2 linked regions of the Anolis sagrei genome follow. The protein of the gene in region 2 purifies or fractionates together with the protein of the main gene of each other region. This does not show direct contact. Links are inferred from orthologs where the notes say so. Each region holds a gene or a part of one and is shown on either strand. Other genes may lie near its edges. The genes, in order: FAM174A and SLC39A7.

What was found.
Region 1: the proteins of SLC39A7 (region 2) and FAM174A purify together in Homo sapiens (co-immunoprecipitation; 3 studies listed by BioGRID and IntAct, with this or other methods). This does not show direct contact. The link is inferred for Anolis sagrei from reciprocal best matches to the Homo sapiens genes SLC39A7 and FAM174A.

Annotation. Positions count from the first base shown.
Region 1 is NC_090022.1:251,213,573-251,221,588, forward strand, and holds the start of FAM174A (membrane protein FAM174A), read right to left. Parts: upstream 3,271-8,016; 5' UTR 3,200-3,270; coding exon 2,832-3,199; intron 1-2,831.
Region 2 is NC_090022.1:1,687,486-1,695,322, forward strand, and holds the start of SLC39A7 (zinc transporter SLC39A7), read right to left. Parts: upstream 3,096-7,837; 5' UTR 2,919-3,095; intron 2,624-2,918; 5' UTR 2,619-2,623; coding exon 2,070-2,618; intron 1-2,069. Other genes in the region: RXRB (retinoic acid receptor RXR-beta), read left to right, coding at 4,277-4,307. UniProt on the Homo sapiens protein: Transports Zn(2+) from the endoplasmic reticulum (ER)/Golgi apparatus to the cytosol, playing an essential role in the regulation of cytosolic zinc levels.

The sequences.
Region 1 (8,016 bases), about 250 Mb from region 2:
TAGTATCTGAGATTCACCAATATTGGGTATTGATTTACTTGCTGGGAAGTATTTCACTCCACCCCCAGTTTCATCAATGATGGAATTGGCATGTTAATTTTCTATAGGCTTTGTCTGAGTTTGATAAATGTTATGTTCACCAGAACTTATTCCATCAGTGTAATTTTAGACATGGTAATTCAGGAAAGTTCCAATTAGGAAGCTATCTATATGGGTAAAAGATTGGACTGAAGCCTTGGACTGAAATTCTGTGCAGTGGAAGCCTAAATATCCCGAAGATACTAGATCCCATCTCATCTTGGAAGCTAAAGAGAGTCAACTCTAGTTAGTACTTGGATGAGAGACTACCAACAAAGATTACATGCTGTAGGCTATATTTCAGATGAAGGATTGTTGCTATAAGGCAACAGGCAACCTGAATATACAAACTTTATTTTACAACATAAAACTTTTCTTCACAAATTACTAGATGTTGAAAGGTGTAGTACAACTAATTGGGGTATCCTTGCTTCCTTATTCAAATAAAGTAGGACCCCCATATTTTCAGGACCAGTGTCTCCAGCTTCATTGATCCACACCCAACAAAATATGTCTCTTTTAGGAATGTGTGGGTCCTCACGTGTGACTCTATTACAATACTTGGATCAAAAGTATTTCACTTTAATAGTGTTAGCTATTATCCATGGTTTTGCATATCCAGAATTCGTAAGTCCTCCAGGGCAATTCTATGGAAACATTTAATTGAGATCATTCATTTCAAAAGGTTTCACTATTATCTATAGACAGTCCCCAAATTACGAACAAGATAGGTTCTGTGTGTTTGTTCTTAGGTTGAATGTGTATGTAAGTTGGAACAGGCACATTTTTAAGTGTAACTCCAGCCTATTTTTTTTTTTTTTTAGCTTTGGATAGAATAAGGAAGAGTTAGCACCCCTGCAGTATTTATTTTTCTGTCTGTGCTCCTGTTCAGATTTCACCTCACTTTCCGTCCATGTGATCATTGGATTTTGAAAAATTCGGCTTGTTGTGGAAATAAGGATTGGTGATAAAGCTTCAGTGGATACACCATTTTGCCATGATAACTCACAGTGAATTTCCATTCCTGGTGATAAGATTACCATCCACACAATGAATACCATCCACACAATGGAATTAAAGAACCATTATTCCACTTTTAACGGCTATTGTTCCACTCTAAGGTATGGGGTTGGCAATTTGGGAGAAGAACATTAAGAGTTCAGAGCCTCGAAAAATCATGAACCCCTGGATTCCAGAAAAATGGAACAATGGCAGTCATAGTGCTGTAACTGTATATGAAATATTTGTGGGCCCCCAGTGTGCAAGGCAGAAATAGGGACCCGTTGCATGCCAGATGTCTTGGACTTTGCCACTGCCCATAATAGTTTGAGCTTTTGAGAACTGATGCATCTTAGGACTATGAGCTCTCCACACCTAAAATAAAATAGAAAAGCAGTGACATAATCTTAATATCCCCATAATCTTATGGGGAGAGAACGCCATGATGGTGTACTGCTAACAATTTTGACTGAATACAGTGGGCCCTGGGTATCTGTTGGTGTTTGGTTCCAAGATCGCCAATGGACACCAAAATCTGTGAATGCTCGAGTCCCGTTATATACAATAGTGCAGTAAAGTGACAGAAAGTAGTAAAATCAGTTTGTCTTTTGGATTATTTTGAGAATATTCTCCCACCACGGAAGGTGGAATCCTTGGACGTGTAATCTGTGGATGTGGCACTCCAACTGCATAAAACAATGGTTCCCAATCTTTGGTCCTCCAGTTAAGAATTGTGGGCGTTGAAGACCAAAACATGTGGGGACCCATAGATTGAGAACTACTGGTGTGGATCATGAAAATACGTAAAACCATGGATCACTGGGAGAGGAATGGGTTACCATAATATTTGGTTGATCACACTAGATAGTCTCAACCTTTGGTCCTCAAGGTATTTTGGACTTCAACTTCCCTAAATCCCAGCAAGCTAACAAACTCATGATGCTAGTAAGGACCAAAACTAAGATAGGCTCTATGGTCTGAGGACCAATCTGATTAGAAGTATTATGGGTTATAAACTGCAGCCTACTTTGGATTTTACAATCTTTAATTACACTCATGTCAAACTTATCAGAATTTGTCACAAAGACACTCAGGCTTTGGATCAAACTTTAAAGAAGATCCTTACAGAGGTCTAAAGGAAAGGTAGGCAGAGGAGAATAGATCTGGCCCTCAGAAGTGGTGCCTGAAGCCCACAATTCCTAACAGCCGGCTGTTAGGAATTGTGGGAGTTGGAGTCCAAAACACCCGGAGGGCCCCAAGTTTGCCCATGGCTGTTAGGAATTGTGAGAGTTGAAGTCCAAAACACCCAGAGGGCCCCAAGTTTGCCAATGACTGTTAGGAATTGTGGGAGTTGGAGTCAAAAACACCTGAAGAGCTGAAGTTTTCCCACGCCTGAGCCAATCTCTCACTCAGATATAACCTTGGTGTATCTGCACTGGAGAATGAATGCAGTTTGACACCACTTTATCTGGCCTGACCCAGTGTTATGGGTTCAATACATTTTGCAATTTGGCTAAAAAAAAAACCGTGAAACTACAACACCCACGATTCTACTTCATGCCGGCATGGCATTAATTAATTAAACTGGGATTTCGAGGGACCCCACTTTCACGGCTATGGAATCCTGGGAGCTGTAGTTTTGTGCGGAACTAGAAAGGGGAAGGCCTTGCAAAACTACAACTCCTGGGATCCGAAGCAGTAAGCAGTGAGCGTGGAGTCAAGGTGGAGAGGCGGGACCCTCCCTTGGGGCTCACCGGACGGTCCGGATGACGAAGTAGACGATGAGGGCGGCGCTGGCGAGGACGAGCACCGAGAGGGCGCGCTGGGTCATGGGCGGGCTGGCCTGGGGAGGCGGCGGCACGGCGGCCAGGCTGCTGCTGCTGCTACTGCTTCCATTGCCACTGGGCACCGCGTCGGGAGGGCCGGTGCTGTCCGGAGAGGCCTCGGGGAGCTCTTCGCGGCCTAACTGCTCCGAGGGCAAAGCCTGCTTCGGAGGAGGGGAGCGGGGCTCCGGGGCAGGGGCCGCTTCCCCGCGGAGCAGGGCCAGCGCCAGCACCGCCGCCACAAGCAGGCCCGGCAGGGGCGTCAGGGTGCGGGGAGGCAGCGGCGAGAGCTGCCGCATGGCGCCCCGTCCCTAACTCGGCCCCCCACGCCGCCCAGGGAGGAGGAACCGGAACCGGAAGTGCTCGCTCTTCCGGAAGGCCCAGGCCGTTGCCATGGACGCCGAGAGGCTTCAGTCGTCTCCTCTCTCATCTGGAAAGCGGGCAGGGCGCATGCGCAGAACTTCATCGCGCTGCTAGATAGAACTCCTTGAGTAGCCTCCTCTCTCCCTGCCTGGCAGGCTGGCTGGGCGGGGCGCATGCGCAGAACTACATCGCGCTTCTCCCACTGAGTTTCTGTAGACCAGTGGTTCTCAACCTGTGGGTCCCCAGATGTTTTGGCCTCCAACTCCCAGAAATCCTAACAGCTGGTAAACTGGTGGGATTTCTGGGAGTTGTAGGCCAAAACACATGGGGACCCACAGGTTGAGAACCACTGCTGTCGACTAAAAGAACTCCAAAGAATACAAATATGTGCACATTTTAGACATTAATTCTTAGAACTAGGTGTTTTTTTCAGCCTGAGAATTACAGTGCGCCCCCCACTTCTGTACTGCCATATAATGGAGTTTGAAACTGCATTATATGGGTAGTGTAGACCAGGTGTGGACAAGCTTTGGCCCTCCAGGTTTTGGGGACTTCAACTCCCACAATTTATACAATTTTTCAATTGGCCACCTTAATTAGCATTTAATGACCCAGCAGTTTCAAGGTCTGGTTCTTACTGCTTGGGCCACAGCAACGCATGGCAGGGGACAGCTAGTCTATATAAATAAAAATGTTATGTTCGTTTGTGGGATTAACATAACTCAAAAATCACTGGACGAATTGCCGCCAAATTTGGCCACAAGACACCTACTAACCCAAGGAATGACCATCACTCAAAAAATGATTTTGTCATTTGGGAGTTGTAGTTGCTGGGATTTATAGTTTACTTACAATCAAACTCCACCAATGATGGAACTGAACCAAATGTGGCACACAGGACTCCCATGACCAACAGAAACCACTAGGAAGGGTTTGGTGGCTGTACGTTGAGTTTGGGAGCTGTAGTTCACCTGCATCCAGAGAGAACTGTGGACTCAAACAATGATGGGTCTGGACCAAACTTGGCATGAATATTCCATATGCCCAAATATGAACACAGATGGAGTTTGGGGAAAATAGACCCTGACATTTGGGAGTTGTAGTTGCTGGGATTTATAGTTCACCTACAATCAAAGAGCATTCTGAACCCCACCAACGACAGAATTGGGGGCAAACTTCCCTCCCAGAACCCCCAGAACCAACAGAAAATACTTAAGGCCATCCAGTCTAACTCCCTTCACTAGAGCAAGAAAATGTAATCAAAGCCCTCCTGACAAAGAGCCATCCAGCTATAGATACAGATAGATAACGACACACACACAGAGATATAGTATCCTAGATTTGAATGTTTTAAGCAGAGGGCCAATTGACGGTCCCGCAGACTGTTGGGGGCTGGACTATAGATTCCCATGCACAGTACACACATCTTATTTGTAGTGCATAAAACACACACAAAAGATCAATACAATGTTTAAAATGAAGAACATTTTAACCAACATAAACATACCAGTGTTTTAATGAGAAGTGTGAGCCTGCTTTTGGCTGACAGTCAGTAAATTAGGATTGTTGTCGCTGTGTACCTTCAAGTTGTTTCAGATTTAGGGTAACCCTTCACTTCACTTCACTTCACTTCACTTTATTTCTTAGTCGCTCTCCACCAAGGTGCTACGAGCGACTTACAATCTAAAATAGCATTTACACAATATAAAAACATTCAACATAAAAACATCCAACAGTGACTATTTGGCAAATTAGATCTGATTACTTAAATGCACAACCAAACAGCCAAGTCTTCAGTGCCTTTACAAAAGGTCGCAACTCCGACATTGCTCTAATATATGGAGGCAATGAGTTCCACAGAATTGGAGCATAGGTCAAAAAAGCTCTACATCTTGTAGCTTCCAGGTGTACCTCCCTAGGGCCCGGTATGTATAGGAGATTTTCCTGGGTGGATCGAGGTGACCACTGATGGAGAAAAGGAATGAGGCGGGTCCTTGGCCATTTTGAGCTCTAAATGTCAGGATCATTATCTTGTAAGAGATCCGATGTTCTATTGGTAGCCAATGCAGTTGCAGAATCAGTGTAATAACCCTAAGTCTAAAGCAGTGGTTCCTAACCTTTTCTTGACCAGGGAACACTGAACATAGACCACTTTGACCAGGGACCGCTCTCCAACATTAGTCCCAAAAGGGTTAAGAATCAGTTTTTGGTCAACTTTAGATTTGGTTTGGTTATTTGGAGTGTTGATGTAGAAAATTACATTGGATCGACTACATCAGCTCTAGTTTCTGATACAGAACATATTCCATCCAGTAGTTGCCATCTGCCTGCCCACAGAAAACCATATTTGATAATCTGGAGCTGATGTGGTCTATCCAAGGGGTTGGGACTGGTCAGCGAAAGGGAAGGAGTGGCAGGCGGTGCGAAAGGATCAGTAATAAAATAAATAAAATAAAACAAAGAGGAAGGAGCAGTCCAGATTTTTGTCCTCACGGCCCACTGGTGTTCCATGGCCCACAGGTTAAGAACCACTGGTCTAAAAGGTGAGGCCTGGGTAAATGACTTTGGAGGGCTGCATCCTGCCCATTGACCTTAGCTTGGGAATCCCTGATCTACACTGTAGAAATAATGCTGTTTGACACCACTTGAACTGTCATGGCTCAGTGCTATGGAATCCTGGGATTCGTTGCTTGGTGAGGCACCAGTACTCTTTGGCAGAGAAGGGTGAAGACCTTGTAAAATTATAACTCCCAGGATTCCATAGCATCAAAACCTGGCAGTTAAGGTGGTGTCAACATGCATTCATTATACAGTGTAGATGTGCCCTGAGAATAACAGATTGAGCTGGCATGGGGTAGTGGATTGAGTGTTGGGTTCAAATCCTCACTCAGCCCTGAAAACTCATTGAGTGATCTTGAGCAAGTTGCACACACTTTCAGCCTCAGAGGACAGCAATAGCAAAGCTCCACTGAATAAATGCTACCAAAATATGCCTGTGAAAGTCGCATTAGGTTGCTGCAGATTTTTCTACTGCTGGACCATGGCACTTGCTGTATTGCCTTGGGCAAATCATGTACTCTCAGTCTAACCAGCTCTCAGGGTTATTAAGAGGACAAATGAGATACCAATTGTTAACCACTTTGTACTGACACTTACTACAGGAAGTGAATAAATAATAATACTAATAGTTTGATCTCAAGAAAACTCTGCCTCGAAGACTTGCCATGAAATGCGATTAATATGGATTTTGTGATAAGCCTGGAGCAGAGAGTGCTGAATTATGGTTCTGATATAATATTTGTTTATGGAAATAAGAAGAAAAAATATAGTGACATATAATTGATGCCAATTAATGTTGCTGAGTTCAAAATCCAGACTTGCCAGTTTCTCTAAAAGAACTCCAAATACTGTAAATATGTGAATGTTTTATACATTAATCCCAGTTTTGGAGAACCAGGTGTGCTTTTCAGCCTGAGAATTTACAAATGGGCAAGGAGGGTGGATTCCCATCACATGTTAAATTGGGTGTTCTTACATGTCTCAATGCGGGGAAATGAAAACAAGTTCATTGCCAATTGATTTAGAAATTGTGGGGGAAACCCACACTTGCAAAACGGTTAAATACCTGGAACCCACAGTTGAGGCTTGCATCATGTGATGAGCTCCGTGGGTTGCCGATTCTTACATGTGTAGAAACACTGATTTTGTTGTATGTGATTAAGTCACTGATCCATTTAACTGGACGTGTCTACATTCTTTGGTTGTTCAGAAGATCAACTAAGGGAAGGGCTATTTGGAATTATAATGAGTTTAATAGCCGTAGTCAGGGAATTTTATAGAATTTCTTACTGCATCTTCATTTTTTCGCAGAAAATGTCTATGCGAAGCTTCTCCATTACTTACAATCATAATATTCAGATTGTGTTGGAAATTGTTTTTTTAAAGGCGGAATGTAGCCCAGAGTTGCACGCTTACTTGTATATGATAATCAAAAAATGCCTGAATTAAAAAAATAATAATTCTGAATTTTATCAAAGCTTAGAGAAATGTCTTAAAATATTACTAATCTTGGATTGCAATAAATCCATTTTTACAGGTTATTTTTATTTTTGGTTTGTAGCAACTTGGAGAAGGCAAAGGAAGAATGTGGTGCTCCAGATGTTGGACTTCATGCATCCTTTGTCACCATAGTAATGTTGAGGAATGCTGAGAGTTGTTATTGAGCAACATCTGGAGTATTACCTATATTTGCATTAATATACCTGCACACTACGCAAAAACTAAACAGCCAGAACTGGAAGCCAGTTGGTAGCATAAGTGCATGTAACTCAGGATTGCATATATGTATGCCTTCGTTTTGGATATGCCAGATGTTCATTGGCCTCTTGTGTCTCATTCAAACACTCCCCCATGGCAGCAGTATGGGGTTGAAAAGAAATTTCTTTTATCCATTGTTGCATTATCTATCTATTTAATAGGATATTTAAATTCCAACCTTTATTGTGGAATTTCAGGACAGGATATTAAAACCATAAGTAGCTTAAATAGGATTCAAACATATTAAATATGGCAAGATCCATGAAAATTTTGTGGTAAAAGAACAGTGCTTTAATGAATTTTCCTTCTTACTCTTCATATCTTCATACTAAATCCAAGGTTTTGCAAATGAAAAGTGACGTGTTTCTGTCACCTTAAAAGCTAGGACATGGAGCAGTGGATTCAAATTGCAGGAAAAGATTCCACCTAAACAATA
Region 2 (7,837 bases):
CGAAACGAATTGACCAGCCCTAGTGTCCACATTGGAGAACTGACGCACTTTTGACGCCACTTCAACTGTCAAGGCAACAGGATCACAAGAGTTACAGCTCTGCAAAAGCTTTAGCTCCCTCTTCCAAATTGTAAACAAACTGCGACTCCCATGATTCCCTAGCGGTGAGCCAGAGAGGCTCAAGTGGTGTGAAACCGCATTCATTCTGCAGTGCAGATGCACCCAAACCCTTCCCCCTGCGGGCCGGCATGCAAATCAGGGCTGGGCAGCGGCTAGGAATCTCAACAGGGCTAAATACAAAGTGCTGGTCATCATCTATAAAGCCCTAAATGGATTGGGTCCAGGCTATTTGTGTAATCACGTCTCCCTATAACTCAATGAGCAAATAGACAGGCGGCAGGCGATTAGTCAAAACAGGCAAACCGAACAGTGGCTTCAGCGCCCTGCCAGAATCCGACAGAAAAAGATAAGGGAATCTCAATTAAAGCGAAACCAATTTCTGAGTGCTTGGGATAGCTTAACGAGGGGATAAAAGTTCCAAGTATGGGAAATATAGTCAAATGAAGCATACTGTTGCACTGCAGAGGACAGGAACAGGATTCAAAACGATCTTGACAGATTAGAGAGATGATTGGCCAAAACTAAGAAAAGGAAGTTCAACAGTGACAAATGCAAGATACTCCACTTTGGCAGGAAAAACCACATGCAAAGAGACAGAATGGGGGACGATGAGGCCTGGCTCAAGAGCAGGATGTGTGGAAAAGATCTTGGAGTCCTCGTGGGGAGGAAGTTAAACATGTGATGTGGCGGCAAAAAAAGCCAATGGGATTTTGGCCTGCATCAGGAGGAGCCTAGTGTCTAGATCCAGGGAAGTCATGCTCCCCATGCTCTATTCCGCTTTGGTTAGACCACATCTGGAATTACATTGTGTCCAATTCTGGGCACCACAATTCAAGAGAGATATTGACAAGCTGGAATGTGTCCAGAGGAGGGCGACTCAAATGATCAAGCCCTATGAGGAGCGACTTAAGGAGCTGGGCATGTTTAGCCTGAAGAAGAGAAGGCTGAGAGGAGATATGATAGCCATGTATAAATATGTGAGAGGAAGCCACGGGGAGGAGGGAGCAAGCTTGTTTTCTGCTTCCCTGGAGACTAGGACGCAATGGAAGAATGGCTTCAAACCACAAGAGAGGAGATTCCACCTGAACATGAGGAAGAACTTCCTGACTGTGAGAGCCGTTCAGCAGTGGAACTCTCTGCCCCGGAGTGTGGTGGAGGCTCCTTCTTTGGAAGGTTTGAAACAGAGACTGGATGGCCATCTGTCAGGGGTGATTTGAATGCAATATTCCTGCTTCTTGGCAGAATGGGGTTGGACTGGATGATGGCCCAGGAAGTCTCTTCCAACTCTATGATTCTATGATTCTATGCAGGACTGCATGGCTCACGAGATCTCTTCCAACTCTTTGATTCTAGGCAGGGCAGGAAAAGCCCTGACTGTAAACACCACACCATTGTGGTTTGCCTGTTCGGTCTGCCTGTTTTGACTAATCTCCTGCCACCTATCTATTTGCTCATTAGGTTTTGCAGCTGGGTCAGGTGCCCAGTTGTTTTCAAGCCCCGAATGCTGGGAACTCTCTGGTAGGAATTCAGGGAGTACACTATCATCCCCACACCCTTCTGGGACATTCTCATGGGAAACTACACTTTGCAAAAGGGTCTCCTGGTCCTTCTCTGCATCGGTATCATTGCCATCTTGAAATTCATTGGCATCACTTCCCAATCCAAAGCACCCTGATCCTGAAACACAATCACAAGCTGAACTCCAACAGAAATGGAGATGGGCACCAGAGTCTCAGAGTTGGACTCGACTGGACTTAATGTCAGGCAATACGAATGAAATGCAGAGAACTAGGGCGGGTGTGACTGGCTTGAAAGGAGATCCTGGGAGTCTCAGGGGATCACAGGCTGAGGACTATGCGCCAAGAGTGTGATGTGGCGTTTCCCTCCCAACCCCGTGATATCATAATGATGGAACCAATCCCTCCTCTGCAAAGAGTCCCCAGACTCACGTAAGTCCACAGCCACGCTGTCTCCAGCTTCTCTCTCCTGGGAGGGGGCCTCTCGTGGTCGGGGAAGGCCCCGCCCTGGCTGGGGCCACCAACGTGGTCCTCGTGCGAATGCCCATGAAGGTGGCTGTGGCTGTGATCGTGGCGGGGTCCCTCGTGCGAGTGGCTGTGGCCGTGGTGGAAGTCCTCATGGTCATGGTGGTGGTGCTCAGAGGGATCGCGCCAGAGGTGCTCGTGAGTGTGGCCGTGGCCAGCGTGGCTGTGGCCGTGGTGGAAGTCCTCATGGTCATCATGATGGTGGTGCTCCGCGGGGTCGCGCCAGAGGTGCTCGTGCGTGTGACCGTGGCCGTCGTGGCTGTGGTGCGAATCCTCATGGCTGTGGCCATGGTGAAGGCCGTCGTGGCTGTGTCCGTGGTGCAAGTCCTCGTGCGCATGGCCGTGGAAGCCTTCGTGCTGTGCAGATGACGTCCTCAGCAGAAGCAGGAACACGGAACAGACCACCAGGAGGGTCACCACGGTCCTCGGCCACCGGCACGCCACCATCTTGACCATTGTCTCTGGAGGGAAGAAATAAGAGTGTTAAGGGCGTTGGAAGAGGCCCCTAAAGAACATCCAGCCCTGCCCCCTTCTGCCTTCCAGGCAGGGACACCACACAAGCCCTCAAGACAGATGGCCATCCAGCCTCTGCTTAATATAATATATATTATATTATATATTTTCTATATATAATAATAATATTATAATAATACAATATAATATAATAATATATTATAATAATACAATAATATAATAATAATATAATATAATTATAATAATAGTACATAAACTTTCACATAAGCTGAATCCCTTCACCTTCTTCTGGGGCTGCAGTCCTCCAAGGGCATAGAGTCGCGGGGAGAACGAGGCCAGAGCGTCCCCCGGTGACCCTTTTCTCCAGATCCCTCACTCCGCTCTCCCGGATCCGTTAGCAACACCGGGCTTAAAACCTGACGTGGCACCTAGGCCACGCCCACTCGGTCCAAACCTCGCGAGAAATGCCCCTCCCTTCATTCAAATCCCAACTTTTGCCCTTTCTCAATATGGCGGCGCCGGCGACAAACATGGCTGAAAATGCCACCCGATGGATTGTCGCCCTCAACAAACATGGCGATCAATCAATTTCCCAACTTTTGCCCTTTAGCAATATGGCGGAAAACGCCAACCGAGGGATTGTCGCCCTCAACAAACATGGCGGTCAATCAATTTCCCCTTTTTGCCCTTTCGCAATATGGCGGCGCCGGCGACAAACATGGCTGATAAACGCTAACCGAGGGATGGTCGCCCTCAACAAACATGGCGGTCAATGTATTTACCAACTTTTGCCCTTTCGCAATATGGCGGAACCGGCGACAAACATGGCTGAAAACGCCAACCATAGATTGTCGCCCTCAACAAACATGGCGATCAATCAATTCCCCCCTTTGCCCTTTCACAATATGGCGGAGCCGGCCAACCGAAGGATTGTCGCCCTCAACAAACATGGCGGTCACTTAATTTCCCAACATTTACCCTTTCGCAATATGGCGGAACCGGCGACAAACATGGCTGATAAACGCCAACGGAGGTATTGTCGCCCTCAACAAACATGGCGGCGGTTTGTTTTAGGGAAATTGTCACCCTGGGGCGGGGTAAATAAATAAAACAAGGCTTGGTGGTTGTAGGTCTTTCGTGTGGCATGACTCTTGTTCCAGAAGCATTCTTTTCTGACGTTTCGTTTCCATTTATTAGGGGGGAGTTGTGAGGTATGCCCTCAACAAAGATGGCCCTTCGTTACCTCAGACGCCGCCGCCGCCATCTTTCTTTCTGGTGGAGGAGAGCACATTCATGCGGAGAGAGGAAAGGGGGGGAGGAGGGGGCGGGGCTGTCTCCTGGCCCGGTGCATTGTGGGAGGATGGCCAACGGTGAGTGAGGGAGAGAGAGAGGTAGGCCTTGGTCTCGTCGGAGGCCAGCGATCGCGCGCGCGGGGCAGGCTGGGAGTCTGGCCAAGGCGAAGGGGAGGGAGGGAGGGAGAGAGGGAGGGGGGCGCCGCCGCGCTGCCTGACGGGAAAGGAAGGCGCCGCGCGAGAGGCCCCCAGCCAGGCCCGGCGCGCGGTGCATTGTGGGCAGGCCCAGGCCAAGCTGAGGCGGCGAAGGCAGTGAAGGCGAAGGCGGAGGCGAAGGCGGGGAGGAGGATGATGGGCGACGCCGGGAGGCCCGGGGCAGGTGAGGAGGCCTTTGCGGGGAAAAAGGGAGGCTTCTTTCTCCCCCGCCTGGCGTCAGAGTCGGGTAGGGAGGTGGGTGGGTGTTGTTGACAGCCCGGAGAGGAGAGAGAGTAGGCTTCCTGCCTCTGACTAGGCCTCGAATGGAACCATGGCTTCCAATGACAGGAGGGAGATCCCACTCCAGAATCCTAGAGTTGGGAGAGACCTCCTGGGCCTTCATCCAGTCCAACCCCATTCTGCCAAGAAGCAGGAAAATCTCATTCAAAGCACCCCTGACAGATGGCCAGCCTCTGCTTAATAATAATAATAATAATAATAATGATAATAATAGAATCCTAGAGTTGGAAGAGACCTCCTGGGCCCTCATCCAGTCCAACCCCATTCTGCCAAGAAGCAGGAATATTGCATTCAAAGCCCCCCTGACAGATGGCCATCCAGCCTCTGTTTAAAAGCCTCCAAAGAAGGAGCCTCCACCACACTCCCTCCGGGGCAGAGAGGAAGAATGTGTCGGCAAAAAAAGCCAGTGGGATTTTGGCCTGTATCAATAGGAGCATAGTGTCTAGGTCCAGGGAAGTAATGCTACCCCTCTATTCCGCTTTGGTCCAGTGAATGGAAATACATCCTGCTTATCAGATAATTGCATTATGATTCATAACGGGAGCAAAATTAAAGTTATGAAGTAGCAAAATAATGTTATGGTTGGGGGTCATCACAACATGAGGAAAAGTATTAAGGGGTCGCGGCACTAGGAAGGTTGGGAAACACTGGAATAGGTGTACTGCCATTTTACGGGTACCTACCCTCATTAGGAAACCTGGGAATTTATAGTTTGGTGAGGCCTCCATCCAACAAAATCCCTGAGTAAATCTGGCATTGGCACACCCACCCTCCTTCCCCTCATGAGCTTCCTTGCCTCCAGTGACAAATGCAAGATACTCCATTTTGGCAGGAAAAACGAAATGCAAAGATACAGAATGGGGGACAATGCCTGGCTGGAGAGCAGTACGTGTGAAAAAGATCTTGTAGTCCTCATGGACGGGAAGGTGAACATAAGCCAACAATGAGAAGTGGCGGCAAAAAAAGCCAATGGGATTCTGGCCTGCATCAATAGGAGCCTAGTGTCTAGATCTAGGGAAGTCCTGCTCCCCATGCTCTATTCTGCTTTGGTTAGACCACTCTACCTGGAATATTGTGTCCAATTCTGGGCACCACAATTCAAGAGAGATATTGACAAGTTGGAAAGAGAGCTGTTCAGCAGAGGAACTCTCTGCCTCGCACTTCCATGGAGGCTTTGAAGCAGGGGCTGGATGGCCATCTGTCGGGAGAGCTCCGAGGGTGCTTCTCCTGCCTGGCACAAAGGGGGGTGTAGCCAAAAGGTCCTGTGTAGCCTTTTCCAACTCTAGTATTCTGTGATTCCAAGACTGTGGAACGACCTACCAAAGGGAGAGCTAAAACAGCTGTCAGAATGTAAACACAATTGAAGGCCGGCTTAGAATCCTAGAATCAAAGAGTTGGAAGAGACCTCCTGGGCCATCCAGTCCAACCCCCTGCCAAAAAGGAGGAATATTGCATTCAAAGCACCCCTGACAGATGGCCATCCAGCCTCTGTTTAAAAGCTTCCAAAGAAGGAGCCTCCACCACACTCCGGGGCAGAGAGTTCCACTGCTGAACGGCTCTCACACTCAGGAAGTTCTTCCTCGTGTTCAGATGGAATCTCCTCTCTTGTAGTTTGAAGCCATTGTTCCATTGCGTCCTAGTCTCCAAGGAAGCAGAAAACAAGCTTGCTCCCTCCTCCCTATGACTTCCTCTCACATATTTATGCATGGCCCTCATCATGTCTCCTCTCAGCCTTCTCTTCTTCAGGCTAAGCATGCCCAGCTCCTTAAGCCGCTCCTCATAGGGTTTGTTCTCCAGACCCTTCATCATTTTATTTGCCCTCCTCTGGACACATTCCAGCTTGTCAATATCTTTCATCAATTGTGGTGCCCTGAATTGGACACAGTATTCCAGGTGTGGTCTGACCAAGGCAGAATAGAGCACGGGGAGCATGACTTCCCTAGATCTAGACACTAGGCTCCTATTGATGCAGGCCACAATCCTATTGGCTTTTTTTGCCGCCACATCACATTGTTGGCTCATGTTTAACTTCTTGTTCACGAGGACTCCAAGATCTTTTTCACACATACTGCTCTCGAGCCAGGCATCGTCCCCCCATAGATATTCAGTATATAGTTCAGTGTAATTCAATGTATTCACATAGATTGAAATGAAAAGGAGCAACTGCTCTCAAACACAATACATGTAATACAGTCATCTATATAAATAAAAATGTAGTGTTCATTTGTGGGATTAACATAACTCAAAAATCACTGGACGAATTGACACCAAATTTGGACACAAGACACCTATTTGCACACAGATACACACTACGATTGTCCTGTAAGATTTAAAGTATGATTTGAATTGCAGCTTGAATCATGTCCTCATCGTTTAGACTAATAGATAGGTATGTCAACCCAAAACAAGGTATTTCAATGTAAAATCATCCCATAGTATTTATTATTATTACTAGCCATCCCCTGCCAGGCGTTGCTGTGGCCCAGTCGGGTGAACTGGAGTCCTGGTTTCTGATATATGTAATGTCTATATGCTTGTGGGTAAACAGTATTTTTTTTGCTGTTTCTTTGTCAGTGTCGATGTGGAGATTGCCTGGTTTGCCTACTCTGGAACATGCAACATAATTGTCCTTTTTTAAGGATCCCTTTCAAATCTATGATGCTATATCTCTCTCTCTGTGTGAATCATATTGATCTATCTATGTCTATGGCTGGATGGCTCTTTGTCAGGAGGGCTTTGATTACGTTTTCTTGCCCTGGTGAGGGGAGTTGGATTGGATGGCCTTAAGTATTTTCTGTTAGTCATGGGGGTTCTGTGTGGGAAATTTGTCCCAATTGTGTCATTGGTGGAGTTAGAATGCTCTTTGATTGTAGGTGAACTATAAATCCCAGTAACTACAACTCCCAAATGTCAAGGTCTATTTCCCCAAACTCTTTCTGTGTTCATATTTGGGCATATGGAATATTCATGCCAAGTTTGGTCCAGATCCATCATTGCTTGAGTCTACAGTGCTCTCTGGATGTAGGCGAACTACAACTCCTAAACTCAAAGTCAATGCCCACCAAACCCTTCTAGTGTTTTCTATTGGTCAAGGGAGTCCTGTATGCCATGTTTGGTTCAATTCCATCATTGATGGAGTTCAGAGTGCTCTTTGATTGTAGGTTAACTATAAATCCCAGCAACTATAACTCCCAAATGACAAAATCATCATTATTTTTAGTGAAGGACATACATTGGCCTGAGAGGTGTCTTGTGGCCAAATTTGGTGTCAGTTTTCCAGTGGTTTTTGAGTTATGTTAATCCCACAAATGAATATTACATTTTTATTTATATAGATTATTATTATTATTATTATTATTATTATTAAACTTTATTTATACCCCGCCACCATCTCCCCCAGGGGACTCGGGGTGG